Rattus norvegicus: one gene and its partner. The protein of the gene in region 1 interacts with the protein of each later gene in a biochemical or structural test. Links are inferred from orthologs where the notes say so. Each region holds a gene or a part of one and is shown on either strand. Other genes may lie near its edges.

Region 1 (4,275 bases):
AAACAAACAGCCTCTTTGTATAAGAGAATATCATTTGGTTGACACAGCATCAGTTCTTTTGTTTTACAGATTTATTTATCTACGTATGAGTACACTGTCATTGTCTTCAGAAGAGGGCCTCAGATCCCATTACAGATGGTTGTGAGCCACCAAGTGGGTGTTGGAATTTGAACTCAGTACCTCTGGAAGAGCGATCAGTACTCTTAACCGCTGAGCCATCTCTCCAGGCCACAGCATCAGTTCTTATCTAAAGCAAACTCTCACCTTTCAAAAGCATGCCCCAGAAAGCATTCTGAAGTTGCTTCAGGGGTATAAGTTATTGGATATGATTCCAACAGCCCTGAACTCAAAGACTTCTTCACTTGCTTAAAAAAATAAAAATGTAGCCAGGATCAGCACTTCACCAAAAATATCCTATTCCTCCCTTAATTACAGCACCGAGGAGCCCTTCTGTTGGTCAAGGCTGTGCTCCAGTTCAAGGTACGTTTCCAGCACTCTAAAAGGACGAGGACTGTTTATTGAGTATACAGTGTTTGAGTCACATTTCAAACTACACAGAGAAAACCCCCATCACAGAGTGCTTCAGGTGGCAGAGATTCACCACACAGCACATAAAATCACTCCTGCCATCAATGTGCTGGGGTGACGTCTGATTAACGCTGGTCTCATCTGCCTGTGACACTAGCAGGCAGCAGGTCTGCAGATTTTTCTCTAACTATCACTGAGGGATAGTTCCCAGTGCCCATGGAGGAAGGAGAGGTGGGGCAGGGAGAGAGAGAGGGAGAGGGCAAGGGGGAGAGAGAGAGGAAGAGAGAGGAGGAAGGGAAGGGGAGAGGGAAAGAAGGAGGGAGGATGGTGAAAGGGAGGAGGGAGGGAGGAGGGAGATGGGGGAATGTGAGGAGGGGAAGGGGGAAGGAGAGGGAGATAACACACTTCAGTAGCCCAGCCTAGCCTCAAACTTACTAGGTAAGATTGCACTGAACTTCCTGCCTCCACTTTCCAAGTGTTGGAAGACTTAGTAGCACACACTATCATCCTGGCAGCCTTTACCTTATAGGGAAAAAGCTCAACTTTGTTCCTTGTTCAAATCTTGGAATTGGTAATAAACCATCTACTCTGCCTTTGGAGGAGGTCACAGATAAAGGTGACAGACACCTTCACTTTTCTCCTAAAGAAAAACTCCATGGAGACCCCTTTCTTTTGTGTCTTTGTGCATTTAACCAGTTATCGACTTGTAGGGAGAACACACCCAAGACACAGCTCACAGGGTTTTTTTCTTTGACCTCTGGCATCATATTGAAGAGCAAGTGGTTTGGAGCCAGAATTGAATTCAACTGTCCCAGTTAGTACAACTCTAAAGAAACCATATTGAATGCTCTGCGTCTATTTTCTCATCTCTGAAATGAACTGATGATAGGAATGACATCACCGTGTGTTAGGGAGCAAATGGGCTAAGATTTGCAAACTTCTTAACACGGGAATAGGCATTCACTGAATGACAAGTTTAATTATTAGTCCTTACTAACTGCCTTAATAACCACTTTCGCCAGGCAGTTACCATCATCCCCATCTGGATGGATGAGTGACACTCCCAACGACACCAAGATTTGACTGCACGCTTCGGGATCCCCATCACCCTCCATTACCCTCCATCACTTTAAAGACTTTTATAGAATGGGATGCAGAATCCAGCACAAGAAGAGAATTCTCCTTGGTGAAGACCAGTGCCACAGGACGGGAAAGGCCATGAGTAACCATAGGCTTCAGGGCTGGAAATTCCTCAGGTTTCCCCAAGCATACGATGGCTGGCCCAGAGGTATCAGCAACAATCACGTTTCCTTGGTGATCGAAGGTCACAGCTGAGGCGGTTATTTTGGAGGGGAAGAGGAGGTTCAGTCCGAAGCTGTCCACCTGGCCAATCAGCTGCATACTGGAGTTGAACACCTTCACCCTTGTGTTGTTACCGCTTGACGTCCCCAAGGCACAAGGATGCTCTAGGACCGCGATGGCCCCGGTGAGCCATGACACTGCCACCCCACGGGGATTACACAGGTGAGCTTGCAACCTCTCAATTCTCCGAAGGACCCCTTCAGGGAAATCCGCTTCCAGCAGGTGCAAAGTCCCTGCCTCTGCGTCAGTCACCAGGACCCCGTTGTGAGGGGTTATCTCTACACCCCAAGGCAGGGAAAACTGCTTTCCCACAACCAGCTTGATCTGGCCAAAGAAATCAAACACTTTGAGGGAGCAGTCGCCGGCGTCGGTGACAACCACATGGCAGTCGTTGGTGACCGCGACATCCAGTGGGTACTTCACGTCATGCGCTGCGTCCCCCTTCTCTCCAAACTGGTGTGCACCTCCTCCTCCGGAATCGAAGATCTTGACCCGTCTCTTACCGTCGTGCACGACTACTACCCGTCCGGTCTTGGGGCACAGTGCAAGCCCCGTGGGGTTCACTAGGGTCCCCCACCCGCCAAAGGCATGGTAGCAGGTGAGAGCCCCGGGCGCACAGGAGGCGGCGCTGAGGGCAGCCGGGGACGCGTGGAGGGTGGAGCCCAGGAGCTCCAGAAGGTGCAGCACCGGCAGGCAATCGCTGGTGTCACAAGCTCGGCAGGCCCGCCGGCAGAAGGGACACTCGAGGGCCAGCGTCCGCGGGTGCGCGAGGGCGGCGACGCAGGCCAAGCAGACCACGTGGCCGCAGGGCAGGTTGCGCGGGCGCCGCTGCTGCCGGTGGCCGAACCTCTCGAAGCACACCTTGCACTCCAGCAGGCTGACCTCCGCCTCGCGCACCAGCTCGGGCCGCACCCCCGCTGCCTCCTCCCCCATCGCTCCCGCCGCGCCGCAGCCCCGGCGCAGCCCTCGGTCACGGCCACGGTCACGGGGCGGGGCATGCGCTCTAACGCGAGGCGCGCACTCCCGCCCCCTGGCGGACGCACGACGCAATGGTCCGCATGCGCCCTGCGCGGACCTGGCGGGGGCGGGGAATCGCGTCACGGGTGGGAGATCCCAATATTAGAGCTTGAGACACGTCTCGCGGGGGGGGGGGAACGATTGTTCTCTCCGTGTTCGCGTGTAAGTGGCAGTTAGTCGTCCAGGGCTGGTGTCCGGCAGGACTACCAGTCAGCTTCACTGGGAGCTGGGTACCAGGGCTGGGCAGAAGCAAGATGTGGCTCCTAGTCTTGGTATAGTATGACTCTGAGGACAGAAATGCAGAAAGATAAGAAAGAAGATGCAAGAAAGAGGGTGAGGCAGCTGTGCATACCTCTCTGGTGTGTTTTATCACACTTGTGAGAAGGTAGCTACGCATCCCTCAAAGAACTGGGTGTGGTGGTTGTGATGCCAGAACTCAGGAGGCAGAAACAGGAGAATAGCGGTTAGTGGTTAGTTGGAGACCAGCCTAGGCTGCGGTGCCTAAAAAAACAAACCCCAGGGGTTGGGGATTTAGCTCAGTGGTAGAGTGCTTGCCTAGCAAGCGCAAGGCCCTGGGTTGGGTCCCCAGCTCAAAAAAAAAAAAAACCACAAACAAACAAAAAAACAAAAACAAACAAACAAACAAACAAACCCCAAAACCAAAACAAACAAAAGAATACTTGTGAAGTGGGTTTGTGCGGAAGGGATATTTTAAAAGCTGTTAGTTCCCTTGCATGGTGGTCTACATAGTGAGTTCCAGGCCAGTTAGAGGTACAAAGGGAGACCCTGTCATAAAAACAAAACAACAATAACAACGACCAAAGGTGTTAGTTAATAGCAGTTACTATAGAATTCACTCCATGCCTGCCTTCTTTTAAGTGGTTTTCATTCGCTGTTTTATTTAAGCCTCGTGGAGGCTGACTGGAAGGCAGGCAGTTTGACTACAGGGCCTTTCACTATCTCTCACTGATCATCACATAGGGTTGTGTATGACAGACGCTTGAGCCTCGTTGACAAAGGCTTAACTGCTCCAGTGTGATGGGTGCAGGGAGTTGTGAGGGGATTATAGCATACAGGTAAGTTTGAGGTTCTTCCTTGTAGTGTCTTCCAGTCCCGGAAAGATTGAAAGTAAGGGGGTGAAGAGATGGCTCAGGGATAAAGAGCGCTTGCTGCCCTTCTGGAGGACATGAGTTCAATTCCCTGCACTCACACTGGGGGGTTCACAACCACCTGTTAACTCCAGCTCCTGGGAATCCAGTGTCCCCTTCTGGTCTCCATGCATTGGTATACCTGTGGCATAAATTCACAAGAACATATACACCCGCATATAAATAAGTATAGGAACAATTTCAAACTTAGAAATGATTG
Region 2 (3,811 bases), on another chromosome or scaffold:
TTCTATGGTATCTTCTGCCCCCTAAGAGTCTCTCTTCTATCTCTTGTGTTATGTTGGTGATGCTTGTATCTACAATTCCTTGTCTCTTCCCTAGGTTTTCTATCTCCAGGGTTGTCTCCCTTTGTGCTTTCTTTATTGTTTCTATTTCCATTTTTAAATCCTGGATGGTTGTGTTCGATTCCTTCACACGTTTGTTTGCATTTTCTTGTAATTCTTTAAGGAATTTTTGTGTTTCCTTTTTAAGGGATTCTCCTTGTTTACCTGTGTTGTCCTGTATTTCCTCAAGAATTTATGTTCTTCTTAAAGTCCTGTATCATCATCATGAGATGTGATTTAAATACAAATCTTGCTTTGGTGGTGTGTTTGAATATCCAGTATTTGCTTTGGTGGTAGAACTGGGCTCTGATGATGCCAAGTAGTCTTGGTTTCTGTTGCTTAGTTTCCTCTGCTTGCCTCTCACCATCTGGTTGTCTCTGGTGTTAGCTTGTCTTGCTGTCTGTTACAGTGGCTTGACCCTCCTGTAATCCTGTGTGTCAGCACTCCTGGAGACCAGCTTTCTCCCAGAGGGATCTGGGGACCAAGAGCTGTGGGACAGGGTTAGCTCAGTATGCAGGTGGAAACTGGAAGGATCGAGTGCCAGTCTGCTCCTTGGTTCCTGTGTCCAGAGCACTCCACGAGGGTTCCTCTTGGGCCAGGAATGTGATCAGAAGTGGTGGTCTCCCCTGTGCTCTCAGGATTGTTAGCACTTCTGAGTGTCCTGTTCTCTCTCCAGGGGATCTGGGTACAGAAAGCTGTGGGACCAGGTTGGCTGCTGTCACAGGTGGAAACCTGAAGGACCCTTGCTCCTGGTTCCTGTGTCCTGAGGACTCCAGGCAGGTCCCTAGGAGTAGAAGTGGTGGTCTTACCTCTGCTCTCTCAGGTGTGTCAGCACTCCTAGTGACTAGCTTTCAGCTCTGGGTGCAGGCGGAGACTGGAAGGATCCTTTCTGTGACTGCTCCTCGGTTCCTGTGTCCAGAAGGCTCCAGGCGGGTTCGTTTTGGTTCAGGAATGTGAGCAGAAGTGGTGGTCTCCCCTGAGCTCTCAGGATTGTCTGCACTTCTGAGAGCTCAGCGCTCTTCCCGGGGATCTGGGTACAGAGAGCTGTGGGTCTGTGTCAGTCATTGGTGCAGGCGGAAACCAGAAGCATTATTTTTACACAAGAATTATTTTCTTTCCATTATGCTTCTTTTTGTATGTTGCAAGTACAAAGAGAACTCCATTTGTGTTTCTCTCAACTACATATCTTAAGCTGAATGATTTAAATACATGGCATAACTCATGTAGTTGAGTCTCTAGGGAAATGTTTCTCAAGATTTAGAATTTGAATAAACAAGGTCACCTGGGAAATAGTTGGATATCTGAAACTCGATGGTAATATTCGCTCTCTTTTGTCTCTTTCCTTCCTATCTCTCTGTCTGTCCGTCCGTCCGTCCATCCATCCATCCATCCATCCATCCATCCATCTATCTATCTATCTATCTATCTATCTATCTATCTATCTATCCATCTATCTATCTATCTTTTACTGATAGTTTTAAAGAAAACCAATGAACTTAAAGGGAGAGCCCTTTATGACACCTTTTATGAACATATAGAAAATATTTGGAGGATAATGGACTTAATCTTGGTTTTGAATTTATTTAACCCAAGTTTTCTGTTTCTTAAGTTTAGTGTCCTTCACAGGTCTCACACTGTTGGAAGAATTTTATGTAGTAATAAGGAGTGGTGATGGCTGTATTGAAATATGTTTTTTTGAATTTTGGATTTGAGATGGCTTTAGGTGGTTTTACGTTTAATGTGTTTAAAATGAATTGATAGCATTTGTGTAACAGTCATAGAGTATATCCAACTTGGTGAGTTTATTTTCATATGTTGCTGGACTTAGTTTTTAATGTCAAGTTCCTGGTGTGCTTGTTGATCTTATAATAAGTTTTCCTAAAACAGTAATAAAAGTAGTTTTAAAAAAATTAGTATTATTTCTTATATCCTTAAAAATCCAGCCTTTCCTTATCAGATTGAAAGAGTAATTGTACTTAAATAGTATATGTTACATGCAGATACTGAAAACTCAAGTTAGAACCTTAGTAATGGTTGACCCTGTATGATCTTTCTAGAATTCTACCAAATATCTGGTTGGGTAGCTGCCCTCGACAACTGGAGCATGTGACCATCAAACTGAAGCATGAACTGGGAATTACGGCTGTCATGAATTTCCAGACTGAATGGGATATCATCCAGAATTCTTCAGGCTGCAACCGCTACCCGGAACCCATGACTCCAGACACCATGATGAAGCTGTATAAGGAAGAAGGCTTGGCCTATATCTGGATGCCTACTCCAGACATGAGCACTGAGGGTAAGGGCTGGAAGGAGCACTCTGGGTTCCTGAGGAACTTGCTTCAGGGGCTCCTGTTTGTCTTTCTGTCATCTATAACTGAATGCCTTAACTGTGAGTTATAAAAATGGAATCAACATAAGGATTTAGGTTTAATATATGTTTAAACACTTTGACAGGATTCTGTTTAATGTGGCTTTATATACGTGTGTGTGTGTGTGTGTGTGTGTGTGTGTGTGTAATCTACTGTGTGGTGGCGTTACACTGATGACTGGGAACACAGAGCATATAGTCTCTAAAGGGTGGCAAGTGTTAATGAATGAACTAAAGTAGGGGTTTAAAAGCACAACGGGTTGGTTTTAAAGACACACAGATAGTTTGGAGAGCTTGTGTAGATAATCTAGAGAGCCTTTTGAGGTAGTGATGTCTGAGGTACCGTCTGAGCAGTGACTGGGGAGAGGGCAAGATGGGAGAGGATGGGAGAAAGCAATTTAGAAGAGTCTTATGCCCCGAGAGGATGTGTCGCGTTGTGAACTGAAAGATCAATGTGGCTAAAGAACTGAGAATATGAAAGCACCCTTAGGACTTGAGCTACTGCAGCGATGTCATAGGAACGATGTCACAGGAATGATGTCACAGGAATGATGTCACAGGAATGATGTCACAGGAATGATGTCACAGGAATGATGTCACAGGAACGATGTCACAGGAGAAGGGGAAAGGAGAAGCCAGGGGATGTGTAGATTCTTTTTGTCTTTGTTTGTTTACCGGAAGTATTTCTTTTGCTACATGAACAGACTGGAGCTGGGTCTGGCAATCCAGTGAGGAGGGTGCAGGAAAATGGGTGATAACTGGGAGGTGAGGCACCGAGGGTGTGGGGAGGAGCACGGTAGTGAGTCGTCGTGGACTGGGAAGCATGCGAGAACAGCCATTATGAATGGGTTATCATGGTCGGGTACCGCTGGGGAAGCAGGCAAATAAGTCATAGTTGTGACAACGTAAGTACGCAGCAGCAAGACAAGTTCAGAATCAATTACAGCGCAGAGGAGAATGGACAGTGAACGATGCCATGTGCCCTGGAGATTATGGCTTCTCTAGACGGGCAGATAGACAGGCTACACAATTTTCATGGCATTTGAAGTAGGCCTGGCTTGGACGGGGAGATGTGGGCAGAGAGAGGGCAATGTGGGGGCAAGGAGGAGCACAGAAAAGGGCACAGAAGCTTGGACTTGTAGAAGAGCCATTTACAGATACGATTGACAGTTGCTGAAAATTAGGGCTAACTTTTCTGGTAAGAGAATGACCTCCTGATGACAGTATTAATAACGTGTCAGCAGGGGGCAGCAGAGAGCTGTAGAGGGTGCATGGGGTTGGGGAGTTTGGCGATTTGTTCTTCTGGGTAAAATTGGCAGTGAAGCCTGGCCAGGAAGCTAGAAA

What was found.
Region 2: the proteins of Nhlrc1 (region 1) and Epm2a form a complex in vitro, tested with the Homo sapiens proteins (3 studies listed by BioGRID, with this or other methods). The link is inferred for Rattus norvegicus from reciprocal best matches to the Homo sapiens genes NHLRC1 and EPM2A.

Annotation. Positions count from the first base shown.
Region 1 is NC_086035.1:17,879,190-17,883,464, reverse strand, and holds Nhlrc1 (E3 ubiquitin-protein ligase NHLRC1), read right to left. Parts: upstream 2,896-4,275; 5' UTR 2,824-2,895; coding exon 1,633-2,823; 3' UTR 54-1,632; downstream 1-53. UniProt on the Homo sapiens protein: E3 ubiquitin-protein ligase. Together with the phosphatase EPM2A/laforin, appears to be involved in the clearance of toxic polyglucosan and protein aggregates via multiple pathways.
Region 2 is NC_086019.1:7,651,860-7,655,670, forward strand, and holds part of Epm2a (laforin), read left to right. Parts: intron 1-2,153; coding exon 2,154-2,395; intron 2,396-3,811. UniProt on the Homo sapiens protein: Plays an important role in preventing glycogen hyperphosphorylation and the formation of insoluble aggregates, via its activity as glycogen phosphatase, and by promoting the ubiquitination of proteins involved in glycogen metabolism via its interaction with the E3 ubiquitin ligase NHLRC1/malin.